2 linked regions of the Caenorhabditis elegans genome follow. The protein of the gene in region 1 purifies or fractionates together with the protein of each later gene. This does not show direct contact. Each region holds a gene or a part of one and is shown on either strand. Other genes may lie near its edges.

What was found.
Region 2: the proteins of cyy-1 (region 1) and pct-1 purify together in Caenorhabditis elegans (affinity purification with western blotting, with the first as the bait; one study listed by BioGRID). This does not show direct contact.

What each region holds. Positions count from the first base shown.
Region 1 is NC_003281.10:8,399,764-8,411,928, forward strand, and holds cyy-1 (Cyclin-Y), read left to right. Parts: upstream 1-6,110; 5' UTR 6,111-6,179; intron 6,180-6,241; 5' UTR 6,242-6,244; coding exon 6,245-6,343; intron 6,344-6,602; coding exon 6,603-6,687; intron 6,688-6,734; coding exon 6,735-6,809; intron 6,810-6,858; coding exon 6,859-6,975; intron 6,976-7,020; coding exon 7,021-7,163; intron 7,164-7,217; coding exon 7,218-7,337; intron 7,338-8,016; coding exon 8,017-8,183; intron 8,184-8,233; coding exon 8,234-8,396; intron 8,397-8,972; coding exon 8,973-9,077; 3' UTR 9,078-9,643; downstream 9,644-12,165. Other genes in the region: lap-1 (Leucine aminopeptidase 1), read right to left, coding at 1-116, 163-292, 338-686, 1,034-1,353, 2,005-2,146; cutc-1 (Copper homeostasis protein cutC homolog), read right to left, coding at 2,760-3,195, 3,528-3,844; ubxn-4 (UBX domain-containing protein 4), read right to left, coding at 4,061-4,150, 4,197-4,671, 4,717-4,824, 4,869-5,394, 5,448-5,658; PITH domain-containing protein ZK353.9, read left to right, coding at 9,733-9,840, 10,273-10,346, 11,259-11,616, 12,002-12,088. UniProt on the Caenorhabditis elegans protein: In association with pct-1, regulates the trafficking of synaptic vesicle precursors in DA motor neurons by promoting anterograde trafficking to the axon and preventing dynein-dependent trafficking to the dendrite.
Region 2 is NC_003282.8:8,179,305-8,192,237, forward strand, and holds pct-1 (Cyclin-dependent kinase 17), read left to right. Parts: upstream 1-5,388; 5' UTR 5,389-5,405; coding exon 5,406-6,081; intron 6,082-6,320; coding exon 6,321-6,417; intron 6,418-6,463; coding exon 6,464-6,515; intron 6,516-7,219; coding exon 7,220-7,465; intron 7,466-7,762; coding exon 7,763-7,894; intron 7,895-7,985; coding exon 7,986-8,398; intron 8,399-8,692; coding exon 8,693-8,921; intron 8,922-8,972; coding exon 8,973-9,131; 3' UTR 9,132-9,578; downstream 9,579-12,933. Other genes in the region: wsp-1 (CRIB domain-containing protein), read right to left, coding at 10,042-10,218, 10,274-10,396, 10,442-10,705, 10,754-10,949, 11,403-11,672, 11,721-11,829, 12,067-12,213, 12,789-12,933. UniProt on the Caenorhabditis elegans protein: Serine/threonine-protein kinase, which, in association with cyy-1, regulates the trafficking of synaptic vesicles in the DA9 motor neuron and probably also in the DD motor neurons and in RIA interneurons.

The sequences.
Region 1 (12,165 bases):
TGAGAGTCTCTTTTGCATAGAAAACTCCGTCAGCAAGAATCAAACGACCTTCTGCGTCAGTATTGTTGATTTCGACGGTCTTTCCACTCAACATTTTGATAATATCATCAGGCTTGCTGGAAATTAAATCATAAAGTAAAATTGAATTGAAGTTAAATATACTTTGCAATTGGGCTGACATTATTCTCAACAATACAGAGACAAGCATGGAGAGTTTGTGAAAAACCGTGTTTGACAAGAGCAGAGTAAGCTTCAAGCATTCCAGCGGCACCTCCCATATCTCTTTTCATATCTGAAAAAATCCATTTTCATAAATAATAATTGAAGTTTTTCATACTTGGCATTCCAGTCTTGGTCTTAATTTGCAAGCCTCCAGTGTCGTATACAACTCCTTTTCCGACAAGTGCAATGTGCTCCGTCGATCCAGGAACCTCATGGGACAAGACAACAAACGCAGGTGGTGTTGGACCAGCTTTTCCGACGTGATAGATTCCGCCAAATCCAGCCTTCAACAGTTCTTCCCCACGGATCACTGTTATTTTTGATCCAGTCGCATTTCCAACTTTGACTGCTTCATCAACAAGAGCATCAGTAGTCAGGATATTGGCTGGAGTATCGATGAGTCTTGCGGTTTCACGGACCGATTCTGAGAGATCAGTAAGGAAAACTGCATCCTCGTTGGTGAGCTGCAAAGAAATTGAATGTTTGTTTTTCAATTAAAACAAAACAATTAATTCGGATTTTGAGATTGAGATCTTGAAGGACACATAACTTTCTTATCAACGGAAGTTCATGAAGACCGCCGAATTTTGCAGAAGCTATCAAATGATTCTACTAGTTCCTCTTTTTTAATTTCGTCACACTACGCAATAAACTCTTATCGTATTTCTACATTATCAGCACACAATTCCAGAAAAGAATAGTCTCCAGGCTGACTTTGCAAATAGAAGCAAGCACATGGTGTCTGCTGTCTATCAGTGATGATAAAACTATACAGATCAATATATCAAAATGAAGGATAGTTGTCACATACCTTGTCGCAAACCACATCGATATTCACATTCAGTTCACGAATTCCTGAAGTTTTCATCGAGAACTTGCAGAAGGTCCGAGCAATAGCCGCAACGTGAGAAAGAACATCTGGATATTCAGCAAACAGCACAAAATGAACATTCTTTGTATCCTCAGGATAGTTGATTGGTTTTAACTCCTTATATATCGAATGAGCATTAGTGGGGGTATTTCCACGTGAAGAGGCATCTGGGACAGTGATCAAATGAGCCAGCTCGTAGTGAAGAGGATGACGTCCTGAGGCGGGGATTCGAGAAATCATAGAGTTCCATGAGTCGCCATCTGAAATTATTTTTATATTATGGAAAAGTATGAACCATCTGCAGATGCAAAATGTTGTTCTCTTTACACCAACCATACGGTACCAGGTCTCGACAAGAGACATTTTTGTAAACTACAGGGAGGTGTGGGTCTTTTAGAGTACTGTAATTTCAAAATCTCATTTATTCTGAATGGTTCATGATTTTCCATACATACCTGTGCGGCATTTGGTTTCGGCATTTGAACAAAATGCACTTTTTCATAAATATGAAAATACGTCATACGGCATACGGCATACGGCATTCGCCATACGGCATTTGGGTGCATATCTCGAGCAGGGGTAAACTTTTTTTGAAATTTTTTTGACTGGTGACAAGCCTAAGAGTCAGGCTTCTCATCGTATGCTATTTCATACATATACGTATTTTCATATTTATGAAAAAGTGCATTTTGTTCAAATGCCGAAACCAAATGCCGCACGGGTATGTTTCCATAGTCTCTTCCGCGCTTTGTTAAAATGTATGTGTTTTTATTTAATATATGTTTAATATTTAGTATGTATATAGATATCTCTAGATATATATGAATTTTTTTAAACGAAAGTGACCATGTACCGTAATTTTGGACAAAAATCAAAAAACATCGCGTTTGTGTAATCTACCAAAACCGAACCTGTAACAAACTTTTGTGCGACTTCTTTGAATTTTCCTTCGAAAGTCACATTTTTCAAGACACTCTTCTTTCCAACAATGATTAGGCTAGTCAGGCCATCTCCAACAGCTTGAATCCCGTTACGAACGAGGACTTGTGTCATTTTTAGGTGACACTAATCACTGAAATTAGAAACTTTGAAAACCTTTTGAATTAAAAAAAAACAAAGTTGGAAAGTATAAACTATAGTATTCAGACTAAAAAAGGCAAACTCTTTTTAGAAAAAAGGTGTAAAAATTATTACTCAAATAAACCGTTTATCAGTTCCTCCAGCAGGTAGAGAAAGAGTGACCAGAGAAACATAAATGCGAGAAAAGGATGATAAAAAATGGCGAGAGAAAATGTAGAGCAAAAAAATGAGAAATTGAGAGAAGGAACAAATCTTCAGGGCGCGTGTTTGCATACATTCGTGGTCTAAAATTTGAGAGGTTGTGAAATAATGAGGAGCGAAATTTAAAATTTTAATTAAGTTCAAATCAACTCCTATATTAAAGTTGCCTAGGCATAAATAAATTGATAACCCTCACAATCCCGTAGAGTAAAAAAACATGCTACTTCGAATATCTAATTGATTAGTGAGCTTCTAAAATTAATAAATAACTTTCGGTACAGAAAAATTCTAGCCAACTAATTGCAAAACACAATGAAAATGTTAGAAACTATGATGAAGCATGCAATATAGACTGGAATATGACATGAAAAAGAATTGAACATAATTAAACGGGGGCCAATGTCGCTTTCAACATCCGTACTTCTTCCAAAGAAGTGACACGTGATGGCTGATTGTCCTGTTTTCCCATTGACACCTTATTCAATGGAGCATTTTTCTTGGCAACAGAAGCTGAAGCATGATACCAGTGACATTTAGTCCATTCGACAAGATTCGCGACATTCGAACTGTTCACACCACAACCTGCGAGAACATCGATCTTTCCTTTGTGAAGTTCTTGCATTTCTCGAATGATATAAACTCCGTCGAGTGCTGACGGCTCTTGTCCACTTGTCAAAACAGCTTTGAATCCAACATCAATAGCGTCCTCAAGACAAGTTTTCCAGTCATAGGCGACGTCAATTGCTCGATGAAATGTGACAGGATGTGGACGGGCAGTTTCAATTATTGATTGACATGATGTACGATCCAATGAACCGGCTCTGAAAATTGAAATTTTTTGTGGATCATCCAGAGCAATCAACCGTTATAATTACAAAACTTCTTTCGTAATTTTGCCGCATGTCTATGCATTTTAAATGTTTTTTAAAAACAAGCTTTCCGCATTGTTCAAAAATTAAGTCAGCCTAAAAATAATTATTTAAATGTTATGTAAAATTTTTATTGATAAACTTGATTGAGAATTTATTTGCGGAAAATGGTGAAAAATTCGAAATGAAACAAGAATATGTTTTTCTTTTTTCATTTAAACATGTTGGAAATAAAATTATAATATATTTATTTGTTTCATTCAATTTAAAACTCTCCGACTTACGATGTTAATGCTCCAAAAACGAATCCTGTGGCACCAGCTTTTTTGAGCCATTCAACGTCTTCCATATTCGCTGCCATTTCGTCTTCATTATACACAAAATCGCCTGCCCGTTGGCGAATCATACAATAAAGTGGAATATCGGGATACTTGTAGCTCAGAATAGACACAAATCCGACGGATGGAGTGAGCCCTCCGAGTTGTAAAGCTGAGCAAACTTCCAATCGATCAGCTCCACCGGCAACAGCATTTTCCGCAGATTCCAGATTATCGATGCATATTTCCAGTTTTATTTGCTTCTGGGATTCTGTTTCTGTCATCTTAACACAATAGAGTTTGAGAAAATATGTTTTTAACATTGTAAAGAATAGGTATAAAGTTATGGTTTAAAATCCGAAAACTCAGCAAGAAAACTGAACATATCTGGGATAAATGAAAACTTTTATTCGATTCGAATTATAAACGAGCAAAAAATAAATTATCCATGGCGATGAACTTTTGGTGTTGGAATCACAGGCGACAAGAAATTTACATTATTACATGAACTGAGTAGAATTTCCATTGAAACTGGCTCGCTCTTCAGGATCGTCTTCATTCGGATTTTCAAGCCCTGCGACGTTTCCACGCTGAAAATAATTTCATTATGGAAAGAAAATAACAATGCACACAAACCCGACGAACTTCCGCACTCCTTGGCATCCCGCGTCTTTGTGGTTGTGATCCTGATTGACCCGATGTAGATGGCCCATCGTTTTTCTTAGATTTCGAGTCTTGTTGTTTTCCGGTAGAATTCCAGCCAATCATACCACAGAAAATATTCCAAAAAGCAGTGAGTGGGTATAAAACCCATGTTACAAAGGATACGGTTTGAGTACTGAGCGAGAAAGATCCATAATTTGAAGAGGAACCCGACGATTTTTGAATTACGACAAGTGCGGTAGAGGGTGTTAATTGATTCTCGAGGAATGTTTTCGAATAGTCATCATTTGTAAATATGCGGCGTGGATACGGTTGCTGAATTTCAAAAGTAGTTCCAGCAATAGAGGGCTTTTGACGAATGATCTCTACGAGAGAATTGAGAACATCATTTGAAGGAAATTCTTCTACAAAAGTAGAACCATCAGGAAGTCGAACTTGTAGACGACACCTACAATAAATTCATAAATTATCAGTTATCAATTAATTTTCTAACCTGTCTGATGGCACAGCCTTTCCAACAGTGGTTTCTTGTTTCTTTTCAGTATTCTCCGAAGCGTTTTCAGTGTTCACAAGTTTCCCGAACTTTTTCTGAGCAGCTTCGCTGAAAAATATTTATATTTTAGAAACACTAAATTAAAATCTTACCGATCAGCTTTAATTTGGGCCAAAATTCGTTTCTTATCACTTTCGGCTGCCAATTTTTCCATCTTCCTCTGTTTCGCTGCTTTGACCAACGCTTCAGCATCTCTTTCCTGTTTTGCTTCGCGTGCTTTTGTCATTTCTTCCTTTACATGTTTGTCGGCCTCTCGCTTCTTTTCAGCATCTTTTTGCTTTTTTTGCTCTAGAAGAGCTTTAGCTCTTGCTACCTTCTCTGCAAGTTCACGAGTCATTTCCTGAGAAGTTGATGAAGATTGAATTGGTGCTGTAACAGGTGTTGGGGCTGGGATTGGGGCATCCGTTGACGCTGGTACTTGGACAGGGGCGGGAGAAGGACTAGGTGTTGAAAGTTGATTTGCAGCTGCTGTTGGCATCCCATTGACGAATTGAGCAGTAGCTTTATCAAATTTGGCTCGGAACTGGTCATATGTTTTTCCAACGAGCGGAGTGATGACTTCCAAAGGTTTTCCATTTTGATCGATTAGATATGCTGCTGGCAGAATTGGTGTAGGATCTAAAAAGATAACATTTTGGCTGAACTGCTATAATTTAAACATTCCAACTTACAAATATCAGCAAACTGCTGGGCAGAAGTTTCACCAGCTTTCAGTTTTATTCCCACTACTGCGCATAAAAGATTTGACGAATCGATATGTTGCCAAAACCCATCGAAAATCTGGCCATCTTCCGAATCCGTGGTGATATATACAATGAGAAGAGCTTTGTTCTTACGGGAAATTTGAATCGCAGTCGCTACGTTGCCACCAAACCACTGCATTCTGTAAATTTTAATATAACTTATCGATTCATGTGAAAAGATACGATTTTCAGAAATCGAAGAGTAAACATTTAGTTATTGAGATAAAATAACCTAAAATTTTCTACAGAAAGCGTTCTTAATTGATTTATTCCAGCAAAATAAATAAAAAAGTGGCTAAAAAATTTATAAAAATAAAAAGACGTCGAATAATTCGTGGAGAGAAGAAACCGTGCGGGGGTTGCATTCCGACTCCGCCTCCTGCCATAAACTCCGCCCACCACCGCTCTCTGCGATTTTTACATTGAAGAAATGGATTTTTCTCTGTTTTTCTTCGCTTTTCTCATAGAAAATATTTGTTTTATATTTAATTTGCAAACAATTTATCAATTAACAATTGAATAAACATTACTAGACAGATTTTTTCTTGTGCTCCGTTCCCCACACTTTATCGATTTTCCATTAATTTGCAGGACTCGCTTCCCAAGTTTCTAGTCACTCCTAATGCGATAATTTTGGTTTTTGGAGATTAAACGTGTTCCGTAAGTTGAAATTAGTAACATTGTCTTTGAAACTTTGAATTTAAACCAATAATTGTTTACAGGTGATGGGAAATTCATCGTGTTGTCTGCGAACGAGGTCGTCGAGCGGAGAGGACAAATCGTATAATAATGATGGACAGTATATTAGAACTAATCAAGTGGAGGTATACAAAGTTATTTTTTGAAAAAGTTTGCATAAATGGAAACTTTGATATCGATTGTTGGAATAATTGTTTTTAATTTAAAAAAAAACTATAAAGCTCTGAAAATATACATTTCGAAGAGAATAATATTTTTTATTTACACAAATTTGGTTTAAAGGGCTTTAATAAGCTTCACGAGTACAAGATTATTTAAAATTATATTTTAAAGGTAAAAATATTCGAAAACCTCTTTCTACAAAAACCTAAATTTAAAATTCAGTTCCAGTATGTCAATCAAGTGTTCCCTCGTGATGAAACATCGACAAACTTCCTTCCTCACATAAGTGAACGAGAGGTAACAGAAGGTAATTATATCACTGAAGTATATATTTTTAAATTCATATTTTTTAAGGATACGAGGAAGATCCATCAACGAATCCAACAGCTCGGCCAACATTTATGGAACGAAGTAAAAGTGAAATGAAATGTAAAATTCTTTTTCTTCTAATCCTTGAATCTATTCTTATCAATTCCAGTAAAAGACAATCGTCGTTCATGTTATATGTTGGATGCATTGGCAGCTGGTGGTCATCATCCCGGAATTTTACCCAGAAGCCTGCGTAAATCAAGCAGCTGCAGTACTATTTATATTGGTAATTAAAGATTTCATAAACATTCTCTGATTTCTCAAATTTTAGATGATTCAACAGTCAGTCAACCTCATCTTAAGAATACAATAAAATGCATTTCTCTTGCAATATATTATCATATTTCAAATCGTAAAAATCGTGGACACGAGCGACTAATGGAGATTTTCGAAGAACGACTTCATCCGATTTTCGTAAGTTTTATCAATCAATCCATAAGTTCCATACATTTTTCGAAGATTTTTCAGAGAGATCCTATACCTCCAGAGCAAATGACACGGGATCCTGATCATCGGAATATTTATCGGTTTGTCAGAAATCTGTTTAGTTCTGCGCAGTTGACCGCCGAATGTGCTATTATTACTTTGGTGAGTTTTTTTTTCGGTTAAAATCTTTTTAAATGAATATCATGAGATTTGGCAAAAATGTATTTGTGTAGAAGATTCGCCTTGTTCTATTGAAAAAATATTAAAAAGACACAACGTTTTGCAATTTTTGTGCCAAAAAAGGTTCAAAAATTTTCGTTATTCGATTTTAATGAAAAATTAAAATTTTCGTTTTTCCGACATTAAAAAATCTAATTTTCGAAAAAAAATAACTTATAAATTTTTGGCCATTATTCTTCTTTTTTAAAGATTTTTTCTGAAAAAAAACAAAGTTTTTCTATGAAAAAAAATGGTAATTTCAAATTCTTTCGACTACGGAATTTTCATTGATTTTTCGTATTTTTCCGATGAAAAATATTGATTTGTTAAAAACTACATAAATTTTAACAGATCATGAGAAAATTAGAAAAAAAATTATGAAAATGTCGGGGATCCAAAGTTTGAAATTACAGTAATCTTTAAAGACGCACACCTTTCCGCATTTATCGTGTCGAGACCATGTACTGTATTTGTAGCGCAAAAAATTCACGCACTGGTAATATTTTAACTTTTCGCTATCGTAGTTGAATTACCCAATTTTGATTTTCTGCTGCCGACGCATTTCTCTTTTCTTTAATAAATTTATCAATTTTGTATAAAAACGCGAAAACCATTTTTTCAGGTGTACATCGAACGATTGCTTAATTACGCAGAAATGGATTTGTGTCCTTCAAATTGGCGTCGGGTTGTACTCGGTTCAATCATGTTGGCATCAAAAGTATGGGATGATCAAGCTGTTTGGAATGTTGATTATTGCCAAATTCTTCGAGATACAAATGTTGACGATATGTAAGTATTTTTTTTATTTGGTCAGAAACCCCGTAATTAAATTATTTCAGGAACGAATTAGAACGGCGGTTTTTGGAATGTCTCGACTTTAATATTGAAGTTCCGTCGTCGGTGTATGCCAAGTATTATTTCGATCTTCGAACATTGGCACTTGCAAATGATTTACAATTACCAATTCAACCGTTGTATAAGGAGAGAGCGCAAAGATTAGAGGTAACCTTTTTGACAATTGATTTTCGGGGAAAAAGTTAAAAATTACCAAAAAAAATTATTTTTTTGTTGCATAAACAAAAAGAAATGTCAATTTTTAGATCAAAGGGGTCTCTGATGTTTTTCTGTTTTTTTTGCAATTTTTTTTCAAAATTTAATATTTTAGTCTATTGGAATAATTGAAAAATTTTCATAGAAAAATCGAAAAAAATATTTTCTGAAAATTAACAGAAAAAATGAATTTTTCATCGAATTATGTCTATGTTGATGAGAAGAAAACATAAATTATTTTCAAAAAAGAGCGATAATGGTCAAAATTAAAAAAAAAAATTTGAAAATATAAATCGAAAAAATACGAAAATTTGCGTTTTTTTTTTCTGTGTAAAATCGAAAAACATATAAAAAAAAAGAAAATAAGAACAAAGAAAAATTGTCAAATAGTAATATCCTTTGTATGCAATAAGATTGAAACATGATTTTTAATGTGCTGTTTATTCTCGAAAAAATAATTCTGAAAGTTTCAACATTTGAAAAAAACTTTTTAAATTCTTCCCAATTTCTTATTCAACAATTTTACAGGCTTTGAGCCGTGTCTTCGAGGATAAGATTCAATCATCATCGCTTCCAAAGCGTGCCCGGTCAGCTGAACATCTTGTCTTTGAGCATCCGGCTGTTCTCTCGTAGACATTTTTTTTTCTAATTTAAATATTTTGTTCAGTCAATTTATTGTAATATTTATAATTCTGTAGTTTCAATGGATTTGCCTTCTTTTTGATTTCAAGAATGTTAAAAGAGAAGGTATTTCCAAAACCGCTACAGTTTATTCTCGCATGTAACTTATTTCAACCTGCCCCAGTCAACCCCAATGCATAATAATTTGAAAACGCCATAATGTTTCTTTTGTATGTCTTGTCAACTGTTAATGTTTTTGCTTCTTCCTTTGCTATTCTCTTAATTATTTCTCTGCACACTATCGTTTTATCTTGAATACGGCTAAATTCGTTTCCTTTGACAAACCCCATCTTGTTTTCCTTCTCAAATTGCTTGTATTTTCAAAAAAAGAAGTTTGTTGGCTATTTAATTGACTCAATACCTATCTCAGAAAATCTCATTTTCTCTTTCTTTGTTTTCTTTCGATCCCTCCAGTATTACAAAATATCTGCAAATACTTCTGTATCACCATGATCAACCCATGTCCTCTTTTGAATAGATACATTTGAATCGATTACAGTAAAATTGTTTTCTGAAAAACTTTTTCAGAGTGTTTTAATATTTGATGGTTGAAAAATACCGATACTTGGCATTTATTCAAAAGTAGTTTAAATAGTTTTTTGTCCAGATGTGTTCACATGGTCATTCTCACAATTGTGCCGCAGAGCACATTCCAGAAGTTCCAGGTGATGACGTGTATCGCTACGATATGGTCAGCTATATTGACATGGAAAAGGTAAACATAAAAAACAAAAATGATTGAAATCAGCAAAAACACACTTAAAACGTTCGAATTTAAAGTTTTCCCGAAGATACCTAACGAGACCCAATGTTTGGGGGCGGAGCGTATTTATTTAGTGTTGGAGCGCGCTTGCACCTCTATGCCAAAGAGGCTTTTTTCTACGTACCCATAAATAAATAATTGAAAGATGCATTGTAAGATGAAACATATAAATATTCTGAGTATCGAAAAAAACAGGAATAGTTTTTCAAGAACTAATTAAATATTCTTGTTCGAAATTAAAATAAAAATTAAATTTAAAATGCGTTAACTGTAACTTCTCCCTACAATCTCACAAAATTAGGAAAACGCATCGCGAGAAATGCCATCCGCTGTCAACGTTTTTATTATTCAATTCAGCAATTAAATTGATACCAATTCTCTCAGGTAACTACTCTCAACGAGTCAGTCGACGGCGCCGGAAAGAAGGTTTTCAAGGTGATGGAAAAAAGAGATGACAGGTTAGCTAGTACATGAGGATTACATTTTTATATAGGATTATTCCGACGATAAAACATTCCATTTTAAAGAGTATTGTGGTAATGGGGAGTATTTTGAAAATTATTTATGTCTACGAAATAGTGGCTAATCGGAAAAAGTTGACAACTCTTCAGTATTACTCACAGAAATTGGTATAAACTTAAATTCCCAGACGTGAAAATTTGTAATTTTGGCGACAAGAATACGGTACCCGGTCTCAACACGACAATTATTTTCCAAATGAGAAAAGATGTGCGCATTTACAGAGTACGGTAGAGTTTATAGAGTACTGTAGACTAACGCTCATTTCTGTCGAATTTTTATCAACATAGTTTTTATTTCACGTTTTGTTCAAATTTATGTGTTTATATTTGAGTTATTAAATATATAAATGTATTTACCGAAAAAAACTATGACAAATCTATGAAGATCCGCAATATCGAACGTTCGAAACTACAGTACTCTCTAACTCTTTAAAGACGCACACATTTTCGCATTAAAAATTTAGTCGTGTCGAGACCGTGTACCGTATTTTGTTAAAAATCTCAAAATTCGCGTCCGGGTAATATGGGACTCAGCTTTAATCACATCTCGCAGCGATCTTACAGTAATCTACCGTACCCGCCACGCAGCCACATAATTTAGATTATTTAAAACAAATAAGTCATATGGTAATGTTAAAGTTTTAAAATTAAACTAGGTATTCTGAAGGTTCGCTAAATACTTTTTCGTAATGAAGATAAACTTAAGTACTTATTGTATCAAATTGCTGACAGCTGTCTTTCTATCTGTCAATAGAACAACCTGAACAACTAATCTGTCAACTAATGCCCCAATGTCCAGAGAAAGAAAAGTATACACGTACATATACACTCTTAAAAATCAAATTTCAGATTGGAATACGTAGAAAGTGATTGCGATCACGAGTTGCTATTCAATATTCCATTCACCGGACACGTTCGTCTAACGGGTCTCTCGATAATCGGAGACGAAGATGGATCACATCCAGCCAAAATTCGATTGTTCAAAGATCGAGAGGCAATGTCATTTGATGACTGTAGTATTGAGGCAGATCAGGAAATTGATTTGAAACAAGATCCACAAGGACTCGTGGATTATCCGTTGAAAGCTTCAAAGTTTGGAAATATTCATAATCTATCGATTTTGGTAGATGCAAACTTTGGAGAAGATGAGACAAAGATCTACTATATCGGATTACGTGGAGAATTTCAGCACGAGTTCAGACAAAGGGTAAGGAAAAATTTGAATATTAGCCAGACGCGAAATATTTTTTCACCAATGGGTCTCGACACGACGAATTTGTGAAAGGAGAAAAGATGTGCGTCTTAAAAGAGTACTGTAATTTTTAAATCTTGTTAGATACTGCAGAAAGTTTTATTGATTTTTCTGGATTTAAAATTTTTATTATTGAAAAACTTTTTAAAAAAATTTACATTTTTTTAAACGTCGAAGAAATGAAAGTTTTAAATACCGTACTCTTCAAAGGCGCACACCATTTCACATTTTACAAACAATCGTCGTGTCAAGACCAAGTACTGTATTTTTGGTGTAAAAATTGCACATCTGGCTTTTACAGAATTTTAATTTGTCGCCTCGGAAAAAAACCAATTTTCAGATTGCAATTGCCACATACGAATCAAGAGCTCAACTCAAAGATCATAAAAACGAGATTCCAGATGCTGTTGCCAAGGGACTTTTCTAAAATAATTAATTATTGATTACTTGTGAATTCGTTAGTGTTAATCAATCCACGTGGTTTCATATTGACTACCAGTATTT
Region 2 (12,933 bases), on another chromosome or scaffold:
TTATGCTTAACACTTTTTTCCATATAGCCTTAAGATCTATTTTTATTTCATTTTCCAGTTGAATTATCGGTCAGTCAGTCACACAGCTGGATTATATATTCTTCAACGTTGTCATTTTTCTCTTATTCTAGTGATTTTTACTAGGAAACTAAGAATAGATTTAGACTAAGAATAGATGGGGATTTTAGAAATTCTTTATATGAGAGAAAAATAGTCTTTTTGCCTTTAGAATGTTCAGAAAGTTTATGCTTGGTACTATTGCGTTTACCGTAATTATAGTTTTTGTTCTCCTATAGTGTTTTCCATCATTTCTGCCCACCGACTACTATTAATTTCGAAACATTACTAGTTTCTACTTGTTCTTTTTTTTTTTCATTTTTAACATGCCGCCCCCTGTCATCTTCTCTTTCCGATTAATCACTATTCTCCAACAACGAACACACGTACTGACAATGGCCGGTTAATTGATACCCACACGAAGGCTTCCGATTGCCCATTGTCATTCAGTGAGTTGTTGGAAGAAATTCACTATGAGAATCACTTCATTTTTCCTTATTTCCAAAACCTTCTGTCCCGTGAATCTCCGTTGCAGGCAATAAAGTAAGACGATGCTCATGGTTTTTTCCTGGGTTACTGTAGCTCATAGTGAATGATGGAATAGAGTTTGTGGGTTTTGTTTCCTCCAAATAATAATTGATCAAAATACATCAATAGAATATAATTATCAGATATCAATGTCAAAAAGAACACCTTTCAAGACGTGCCATTAACTTTTTTTCCAAATTTTGTTGTTTATGTCCTCTGTGAGCACAAATACACAAATGAAATGTTGTTGCCCTACCAGATGTGGCTGTCTTCGTCGTCTTTTTCTTCTACTCGCCCCTGTCCCTCCATTCAAAAACTATTGTTTCACTTTTTGTCTGTGATCTCTTTCTCCCATTCCAAAACTCTTCTGAACTTTTCTTATTTTTTCTTAAAGTCGGTTTACGGGCGTTCACACAGGCAAAAAAAACATTTCGGAAGGTTATGAGAAAGACAAACACTGTTATAAACCTATTTTGTTTTATACTATGTGCCCTTCCGAAACATTTTCTGTATGCAAATCTGATCATTCCATATGCAAAAAATGACGTTTGTTGTGCTTCAAAATTTTATAAATGATCTTTTGAATTGAAAATTTTATTTGAAATGGTTTTTATTTCGGAAAAATTGAATATCTGAATAATTGTAAAAATTTAAAATTCTGAAAAACTATGATTTGTTCATTTTAGCACCATTTGAGTAGTTTTATATTTAAACCCAGACGTCTCATTTTGTGGTTTCGGTGTTTTTTATTGAATTTAAAATTCAAAGGAAAAAATAAATTATTTTGGTTCATGAACACATCGAAAGACCTCTCCTCATCTTTCATCTTTCCGCAGCTGTTTCGCACGTATTAACTACAGTTTTATATCCCTCGATGAGGGCGGGTTTCTCGACACCTCCTCTGAACTTAATTACCCCCAGTTCAATTCATTTCGAGTTCAAATTGATCATAAATTGAGCCTAAATTTGGGCGAAATACTGGTTTTATTGCTGAATTCTTTCTGCGTTTGGTATGTGTTTTACAAAAACTGAATAAGTTGATATAGGAAATAATTTTCTAAAAAGAAAACTTGAATTTCCATTTTATAAACTATATTGAAAGGGTCCACATGCGGTTTTCATGAAAATTTGAAAGTACTTTCGAGTGCTCCTTTCTGCAAGATGTCCTCTTCTTCCACACTACTTCCACATTATATTATCCGTCGAATGTTTCTTTTGTTCACCTCCCCGCCGCGATGGCTCCGATGTGTGGAAGAAGTAAAGCCCATCCATTTCAACCCCGAAAACTTTTTTTTCGCATTTTTATTTTGTGTATGTGGATGTGCGTGTGCGATGCTCCTCTTCAAACCAAGACTTATCCATCAAAATCCGTTTGGAGCTGTTGGGTTTGGGGTTCCAAATTTCATTTTATCAGTATTAACCAACATAAAGTCTCTAAAACGCCAGCTCACATTAATTCAAGGTTCCTGATTTTATTTAGAATAACTATAATAGTTATTAATTCTGATCTATGTTTTAAAAAGAACACTTCGAATCTTATTTCTCACTCTGAACTTTCTCTGCTCTCTAAGTACCTCCACTTTGGCTCTGTGCTCTTTTTTCCCAGCCTTGCTTTTACATCTTCGCACAATCTTGCTGCTCTTTCACACTGAATTCCTGCAAGAGCGTCAGAAAGGTTAGAAGACGTGCAAATTGTGTTAAGATTCAACAGCTTCATCTTCTTCTTCTTCGTCCCTAGTTGTCCTATTTACTCTCTCACTCTCTTTCCTGTGTAACAATCACCTCAAATTGAGCATAACAATGCTCATTCTGTCCACCGCTAATCGACAGCCAATGGACGACGTTCAATATGACGTCCAAGTCGGGAGTGGAGGAAGTAGGCAGCAGTCAAAAAAGGTTAGGGATTACGGAATGTCAGGTTTTCTTCCTCGTTCGTTCGCTCCTGCTGTCAACGTCTTTTGCATCATACGGGTATATATTCAGCAGACCCAGAATGTTTTTTTCCAAGAAAGTATAACTTATTTTTTTCAAAATTCTCATAGGAAAATCAAGATTGATCTCTTTTTGTCCCCATTTTGGTCGAAATAATACAATCACACTCCCTCCCTTTTCTCCTTGATTAGCAGTCATTTCTCTATCCCCGTCCATATATATTTATTGTTGTTTTTTGGTCGGCGATGCTCAGAGGACAGTAGGAGGAGGAGCTTTTTTCTCTTAGAATGAAATTAATTAAATTCGAGAAAAAAACGAAACGAAAGTAGTTCTACAAGGATAGAAATAAAACATCGCAGAAGATTTTATTTAATCAGAAAAAAATATTTAGAAATAAAAACCTACTTTATATTAGTAGTTAATTGTGAATAGAGAATAAAATCTATATGGTTCATTAAGAATTCCATTTTAGGATTGAATATTGACTAAATAAAATTCATTCCATCATTTTTATTGTCCAAGTCGGTTTGGATAAAAAGAGCAAAACGGGAAGCGGCTCATGGAGACTACTCAAAGGTGGTTTCCCAACGAAGCACACGCATTTCGAATTTATAATTGACATCCTAGACAGATTTTGCATATGGAATGAACCTTGTGGTAGTCTCAATGACATAAAGAATCGGGGCACTTGTTTCACAACTCTCATCAATTTCTGATTGATGCTCTTGACCCCTCTGTCTATCTGATCGTTATTCATTCCGACCCGGAATCACTGCTCAGTGCAGGAGACAAAAAGTGCGGTAGGCCAGTAACTTTTTATTGGTGTATCCTCTCTTGTTGACAATCGCGCGAATGGAAAGTTTACACCAATCGAGTGCCTTTTTGACATTCAGTGACCGCATGGGTGTGAACAGATGTGATTTTAATGTAATAACACGCGGCTCAATAGAGCGGTGATTGGGAGCACGGACGTCGTCTTCATTCATCCTCCGACGTTTCCTGCTGTGTGAGCAGATGACGTGGCGGATAGTAGAAGAAGACGAGCGCTTGTCACAGGCAATTCAGTCCCTCAGGACATTCAAGATTTTGGCATTCGGTTTTTGAGATTTTGAGTTCACGAGGTCTAAAGAATTAGAAAGAGGTTTTTGTAATCAATTGTTATATCATCCCAATATTGTGTAACCCGTAGTCGTAGTTTTCAGTTTCTATTCTGCATGTTATTTTCACAAGAATTCTGAAAATATCATGTCTTATTCATTTGGTAATTATTTTCCGCCAACGCCTTATTCCCTTCTCTCGTTAGCATTACTATTCAAGTCTCGAAGACGACGACAACGACGTCATGACAAACAAGAGAATAAAAACTAGAGACTTCTTTTGAAAAATAGTCTGGAGAAATGAGAAAGAAAATATATATATTCGTCTGAAAAACCTGGAGCCTCTTCATTCTGAAAGTTGTATCGGTTGCTATAGAACGACGTGGGCTCTGTCATAGCAGGAGCAACACTAGGCGGATTAGTTAGGCAAACTGAGAGGCGAGAGAGGGGAAGAAGTGCTCATAGAAGGGGCGACACAGGGGGGCTCCTCCCCCGTTACTCTTCTCCTATCGACACTGTGCTCACTCTCTGCTCTTCTCACCCCTGGCTTACACGATGTCGTTGCCTTCGTCCACTACTACTACTCTTTCGCTCTTTTCTTCGTATCGTCTGCGTTTGTGCACCACGCCTCCATCCGGAGCTCTCTAGCTTTTGTCTGCGTCTCGTTTAATATTCAACGGAGAGAGATGGAAGGATATTCTAGTTTGCGAGCCGAGAGCTGCGCACACGCTATTCATGCTCGAGTTTACTTCTACGACGAGACGCCTGACGCCGTGCTCCGTTGGCTCATTAGAGGCACGACAAGTTATCTCAGCAAATGTGTTTTTGCACGCCCACAATCTCGTTTATTTTTTCATCTGAAAATAGAAGCGTTCTTTTGCAACACAATAAGTTACTCTTGGTCATTCCAAAAAAACAGTAAGTAATATGATGCTAGTTTTGAGCAGATTACGTAGTTTCTACACGATTTACTCAGTCTTTTGTGACTTATTCCATATTTTTTTCAACAAAAAAATCAAGTGGTCACGTCACTTTCTCTTCTTTTATGTACATTTCGGATAGGTGTCCGCATGCAAGCTCCCTCAACCAAAACGTGAAAATTTGAGGCTTCGATTTTATTTTTCAGTGGAAAATTCGTATTTTTCATCTTCCTCTCAGTTGGTCTTACAAAATTGTAAATTCAGTTACAACTAATAGAATTGGAGGTTTTTTTAAGATAAATTAGTTGTGACAACTTTCAAATCGGTGTTATGAACTCATTTTCACACCATTATCATTAGACATTCATCGACACTTCTTCTTTTCCATCTATCCTCTTTCTTCTCTCATCATCATCTTCCTTTTCTATACTCCATTTTCTTATTTCTCCTTCATCGTTTGAATTTCCGTTTCAGCTTGCTTTTTTAGCCTCACTCTCAGTGAATTGAAAACCGGGAAAGCATCAGAAATTCATCGATTCGTACATGATAAATTCTTGTTCCGCCATTTCTATGCATTCGAAATCTGAAAATCAAAACCAACGATTTTTCAGGACCACTTTTATTACTTTTGTCTAGTGTAACTTTTGAAAATTATCAGTACAATTATGTAACGATTTTGATTTCCAAGGTTCTAAACTCCTTACATATAGATTTATAGATTTTGTTTTTCTAAATTTGAAATTAATCCTAAAAGAAATCCCTTGCCATTAAGCTCCTTATTTAATTGTATACTTTCTCATTTCCATCGTTCTGTTTCCTTCATCCCGCTCTCTTGAACTCTATCAATTTAATTCAGTTGTCCGCCAAGTGCATGACCGCGTACTCTCCGGCGGATTCGAACGCCGAGGCGCGTCTTCTGTCAGGAGGTTCGGACCCGATCTCGGATACTGAAAACCTATTAGATCTTGCATATGAAGTTGGAACGTCATCATCTGATAATACTCGATACGATAGAGAAAGTGAAAATGATGAAGAGGAAATTGGTGTTGGATGGGAAGATACAACATCTTCGAGTTTAAATAAAAGAATGTGCAAATCAGCGACATTTCATGATTTTTGTGATGATTCTGAATATTCGAGACGTCCGGTCACGACTTTACACGAAGAAGATTTTGATGAAGAAGAAGAGGACGAATTTGAAGATGCAAGTGATCGAAGAAATCTAGACGAGGATGATGTAGAATATGAGGATGAAGATGATGAAGATGATATTGTTGTAGAAGAAGAAGAAATAACACCTGAAGATATTGAACATTCTCCAACAGGAGTTACAACTCAAACAACTCCTCCATCTAATAATACAAGTAAATCAAAAAAGAAAAAGAAACGAAAATCAGATGAAGAAGATGGGCTTCGAAAAATGAAGAAAAGCAGTACATTTGCTTCTTTTCTAAACATGTTCGTGTCCAGAAGACGTTCCGGAAGGGATTCTGGTGAGAGACTCATGTCTCGTAGCACGTGCATGTTAAGGCCAAGCATTTCATTGTGTAAGTTTCCAATGAATGAAATTTGTCTTGACATTCTTTTGAAGGATTTAAGTAGAACACAAAAATTTCTCAATTTTTGTAGTTTTGTAATTCAAAACCACTTCTTATAAGAGTCATCTATGACGTAACTGGAGCTAGTAATCTGAAAAGGAATGGTTATTAAAAAAAGGATGTACTTTGTATATGTGACTAGTTTATAGACTGAGTAAAATTGAAGCCAATAACTTGACAATTTACAGCGGTTGTCCAAGAATCGATGATTTTGGGATCAGATGGAGAGAGTGTTGAAGTTTCTCCGTGTACTTCTGATCAAACGCCAACAGGTGTTCCTCCTAGGTAATTGATATTTTATTATAATATTATGTTAATTTTCATATTTCAGATACATTGTGAACGTGAAAATGCGACAGAAGACAGCTAGAAAGTGGAGTGAGGTATGGTTTTACTTAGTTGAAAAGTAATTGTTCAATAATTGAATAAAATGATTTTTACTAAAAAAAGTTTTGACCGGAGTAACACAATTTTTTTTGAAATATGAAATCCAAGAAAAAAATTTAAATTCTTTAAATATTAAAAAAAAAACGTTCGTATTCTCGATTCTAAATTCACATGCCTGAAAATAATTTTTTTAAATTGTGTTTTTTTGTCCGAACCTATATTTTTTAAACCCATATTTGAAAACAGAACATCCTTATTTTAGAATTAATTCAAACAGCGAAAACTGCCAAAATTAAAAAATCTAGTTTTTCCTTTGTGGCATTTCTGAATTTCAGACTTTTTAAAAAAGTATTTTGAGGCAAAATATTATTATTTTTCCTTTAAATCTGAAACATTTTGAAAATTAAAAAAATATATCGGTGGCCGATTTTCGCAAATTGCTCAATTTCGAAAAAAATTGGTTTTTTTTTCTGTAAGTACTATTCTATGTTTAAATTGAAATTGTGTTATTTGTGATTTTTGAGATGTTTCTCGAATGTCATGAGATATTCAACTCTGTCTATTTTAGGTTATTACCACGAGATGAGCCGGAAATTGAACCGGAAATCTATCGAAAAAAAAAGAATATGCATCACACTGAAATTCATATAATATTTCTAACAAAAGACTTGTTTTTATTTTGCGTATATTTTTTTTTCAGGAGGAAATCCAAAAGCGACTGTCACTTCCTGCAGATTTGCGTCTTCCGGTTGCAGTTGTCGACAAGCTTAACAGAACACCAACATTGGATCAACCACTGACACGAAAGAATCGAAGAGCATCACTCAGTGAAATTGGCTTTGGAAAATTAGAGACTTATGAGAAATTGGATAAACTCGGTGAAGGGACGTATGCTACCGTATTCCGAGGAAGATCCATTTTGACGAACAAGTTTGTGGCACTAAAAGTGAGTATTCAGAGACAAAAAAAAGATTAAATTTCAAGATGAGAATAGGAAATTAATTTCCACTATGACATCAAGCTTCCGCTTTCGGTTTTATTACTTGTATACCAATTTTTATGTCCAACACAAATAATTTTCCAGAAATAGGAATTTTAGCTTCTTTTTCAAAAGAAAAAAGTGTTAAAAAACGTAATTTAATGTTTTCGTTCTTATAAATAAAATAAAAAACAAAAAATAAAGTCAGTTTCATTATATTTCTCAAAATTTTAAAAATTATCATTTACAAAACACATTTTTCAGGAAATACGTTTGGAACAAGAGGAGGGAGCACCATGCACAGCGATTCGCGAAGTTTCGTTATTAAGGAATCTTCGACACGCGAATGTTGTTACTTTACATGATATCATTCATACGGATCGGTTATTAACATTGGTATGTTATTTATTTTTAGAATAAAGAAAATGAAAGAATCTGAAAAAGATTCCCGATTATTTATTTTCGATTCATAAATTTAATTTTGAAGGTATTCGAGTACGTGGATCGTGATCTGAAGCAATATATGGATTCATGTAACAATGCAATGCAAATGAATAATATTCGACTCTTCCTTTACCAACTTCTTCGAGGACTCGCCTACTGTCATCAACGAAGAGTTCTTCATAGAGATTTGAAACCTCAAAACTTGTTGATTACTGCAAAAGGAGAGCTTAAACTTGCGGATTTCGGACTGGCACGTGCCAAGTCCGTACCGACAAAGACGTATTCAAATGAGGTTGTCACATTATGGTATAGGCCACCAGATGTTCTTCTTGGTTCCACTGATTATTCGACACATATTGATATGTGGGGTGTTGGGTGTATATTGTTTGAGATGATTGCTGGAAGAGCTCTTTTCCCAGGTGGTACACCAACAGAGCAACTTGGACTCATTTTTAGGTGAGTATTAATTTTTTGCATCCAGTTTCATCTTTTTCGTTTAAAATCTTCAAATTTTTAGTTTCTGAAGATGTTTAAAAACTTCAAACTATTACGTAGATGTCTAAAATTGAAATTTTTGTCATATCTTACCCGCGTGGGTCTCACACAATGACAACGGGTTACGGTAACTCATGTCGATATGGGCCTATATTGCACTATAATTTCCGAATTAAATGAAAAATTGCTGCCAAGATTTTTTACATTAAAATGTCGAACATTTTAAAAACAAACTCAAAATAAATAAATCTTCAGAACACTTGGATCTCCTCGACCGGATCGACATCCGACAATATGCGAAAAGCCAACATTCTATCCATACGCTAACAGACATTACAATCCAGATCCACTTTGCCGTCAAATTCCACGGATTGATGCTCACGGATTCGAATTGCTCATGAAATTCTTACAGTACGAAGGAAAAGATCGAGTGTCGGCTGCTGAAGCTGTGAAGCATCCGTTCTTGAGGACGATCGCTGTGAAGGTAAATATCAGTTCTAGATCGGAAGTTTATTGAAAATTCAACAAATTTCAGTGTTGCCACCTGCGAGATGAGCAATCTGTCCTAGAAGCTGATGGTATTCACATTGAAAGGGAACTTCTGGCATCAGATCATCATCACAGCTCTCGTCGTCATCATCGTGGAACTCTTGTAAAAGATAAATATCGAATGCATTCGAGTCATCACACTTAGAAATAATTTTCTCAACAAAAAAAAACATATTTAGAATTAAATTTGTTTCTTTTTTCCCCATTTCATCTCAGATTGTGTTGCACTTTTACGGGTTCTTGTCAACCAATTCCGATTCGTTTCCTCCCAACCAAAATGTCCTTCCAATGCGGTCACTTATAGATCAAGATGTTTATGAAACATGTTTCCTAATAATTTATTGTGTAATATTTTCTCTTCATATCCCGAGACTCCATCATTCTTCTTAGAATTTTTCCCGTTGTTTCCCGTAACCAGTAATAGCGATTTTCAAATTTACATTTTCTGTTCATAAATCACACAAAAATCTACAAAAAATCATCTCATAATCTCAATTTGTTCCCAAAAAGCACACAGAACCATTTTTTTTGCTATTTATTTTAGCCGTTATTCTTATTGTACACCTGTGAATAAACAAGCTCTACCCGGAAAGCTTCTACTTCTCATCGAATTGGAAACAAAAATTATTTATGTGGATACCCAGAAAAATGATAATATGCAAAAAAATTATGAGCGTTTCTGCTGTAAGTCTAAAAAGGGACAATGGTTTTGGATGAGAGGGGAGCATCACAGAAAAATCTACGGGAGAAAAACAAGAAGACTGGTTGAGTTTTAAAAGTTTGTTGGTATTTCGGGTGTGTGGAAGGGGGCTTACGAAGAGAAATTCACACGGAATAGGCACTGATTTGGAGAAAAAAAAAAACTAAATGCACAAGTTTTACAAATTCGTCACTTTCAAAATGTATGATAATTTATCTTGGAAATTGACGATTCTGTAATTTTTCAAATCAAGAATTGTACTTGAGGGACTAAAATTACCCTGTTTCACACGGGATTTGCACAGAAAAAGGAAACGAAAAATGGAAGGAAAACAAGTTTAATGAGATAATTTAGTCTAATCTGACCATTCATTTTTGTCATCTTCATCGTCATCATCATCACTAGTATCATCTATTCCCATATTCATTCGACGTTCCTCAAGAGCCTTTGCTAGTGCTCCAGCCAATCCTCCCATTCCAGCGGCTCCAGAAGTCGTACTCTTTCGACGTTCTTGCTCAGCAGCTGCATCCACCTAAAGTTTAAAAAAATTGGAATCAATAGTAATTTTCGGTTAAAAATTGTCTTACATGTTTTAATTGTGCTCCTTGTCGAATTTGGGCCATCACATCTCCACGAGCATCACCACCAGCCGATTTTGGTGAATCTGCAGTTTGTTGAACGGATCGAAGTTGTTTTCCAGCTTGGATTTCCTGAATACAAAATTCAATAGTGAACATTTTTAAAAGTATACTAACCGCTAGCAAATTCGATCTTCCATCCTGAGCAGGTGGTAGTTTTGCGAGCACCGATGCAGGTCCTCCGGCTCCTGAAGGTGGTGGTGGAGGTGGAGGGGGTGGAGCTCCTGCTCCTACTGCTGGCAATCCCATCGGTGGTGGAGGAGGTGGTGGTGGAGGAGCTGCGGATGATATCGGAGCCATTCCAAATGATTGTGGTGGTGGAGGGGGTGGAGGTGGTGGAACCGCATGTGGTCGATTCTCTGGGGTTCCATAGTTGGGCGCCTGAATATAAATTAATTTTTTTCAGAAAATCACTCTCCGGTTACTTACTTGAGGTAAAGGTCTTGATGGTGCAATTCCACGGGTACCAGATGACGGTGGTGGAGGAGGTGGACGAGCTGGAGCCAATCCATGAGATTCGACACGTGTTGGAGGTGGAGGAGCGGCAGGTGTGGAATATGATGAAGCACCGCTTCCAATCGGAGCAGATGATGGGAATGATGGTTTGTATTGACGCACTGGTGTTCTGAAAATTTTTTTTTCATTTAAAAATAAAACTTTTTTGTTATCGTATTTCTAATATGGCTGAAATACGCCCTCACCAAATGCAACACTAATTTCATTTCTAATATTTCTAGTATTTATATTAAATATTTCATAATATTTCTGGTTCTCAGCTACAAAAAACAGTAGTCGTAAAATATATTCAAGGGTTAACTGTAACAGAAACATATTACTTTTAACTTTTTTTGTAAGTTTGCGGAAAAAAAACTACATCGAAAGCATTTCGGGGGAGAATAATTGGGATTGCGTTGCCATTACTCTTTTTCATGGTCCGACATCTACCGGGTTTCGACTCACACAGCGCATATGCATGTATCTTCACAGGGGCGAAACCCAGTAGATGTCGGACCATAATTAAATTTATTTTTTCTGGTTTGGAGTTATTTTTTTCCGAAATGAAAACAAAAAAACTAACTGATTCCATGACTGATTCATCTGTGGATGTTGCTGAATTGGTGGTGGAAGAGGTGATGAGATTTGTGATGGATCCAAACTTCCAACAGATACATATTTATCATAGTTCTTGGCAATGAATTTTTTCACGAATTTCTTATCATCCTCATTCAGATTATTGCTTTCCAATCCAGCAGCCTTTAGAATATTTTTAGTAGCTTCATCCATATCATCGTCGTAAACTGTATTCGAGAATCCACTATCCTGATTCCATCCAACATGAGCTTTATGTCTGAAATATTTAGTTTAATTTAAACCATTAAAACGGAATAAATCTCACTGAAAGTTTGTTGGATTAGAAATATCCTCTTTCTTAATTTTCGATTTTTTATCCTTCTTTTTGTTTTTATCTTTCCGGAACCATGATCCACTACTGCTAGCATTTCCATCTGTAAATATTGAAAATATTTAATTAAAATTAATGTTATTTTTTGAAGAGATTTCTCACCAAATTTATGTAACAATCTTTTCAATTTATTAATCATTAAAATATGAGCAAATTTTGCAAAGTATGCATAAGAAATGAGATATAAAATGTGATTTTTTTTAAGTTTACGTAATTTTATTCAGAAATTCAATTACTGACTACGAGAACATCATTTTTCAATTTCCAAAAAAATATTCACCTGTATGTGTATGTGATTGTGGTGCAGCAGCCATAGTTCCCATTTGTGTTATCCCTTGACCTCCGCCAATTGCCATTGGAGGTCCTCGAATTGTTCCTCCATAAGCCTGTGTGATTTCGAATTGTCGTGTTGGAGTGGATCCGATTCCTGAAATAATAAATTATTAAATATAGAAGTTCTCACTGTCAAGTGCTCTGTTCTTTTTCATTTCAATTCGATCACCCAATCAGTTAAAAATCATCTTTCTCTATTCTCCAGCATTTCTGCTCAACAATGATGTTCATGTGCTCTGAGCGCTTGAAGCCGATCAAGTACTCGGTCGGCGGTGCTCATAACATGACATGAACACAAATAATCGGTCCGAATTTCTCGCCATCCTGGGTTGGATGTTTGCTTTCCAAATTTGTGTGAAAAACTCTTATAGAACCAGATTCTGTCTATCAAATTGATCAACTCAAAGAAAAAACGATAATATGGAAAGATAGTGATCAAGTAAACAAAAATATTATGATAAAGTGCAAATACACATCATGAGTTCAACTTGTTGACACTTCCTATACTTTTAGAAGTTTCGAAAAACTAAATTCGTTTTTAAATTTTCAAGCTTCACAAGCTGTGTAATTTTTGGGAGATTTTAAAAGGTTTTAGAAACTATTGTAGAAGAGTAAAAATGATGAGGTGAAGATTCAGACATCAGAATATTTAAAGTCTGTAAAACAAACCATTAAGCGAAATTGATGTCGAACTAGAACTTTTCTTCACTAATCGATGCCTTGCAGGTGGATGAGATGGAATTGGTGGTGGAGTATCTGCTTCTACAGATGATGGTGTTGCACTGCTACTCTCTGTACTACTATCACTTCCTCC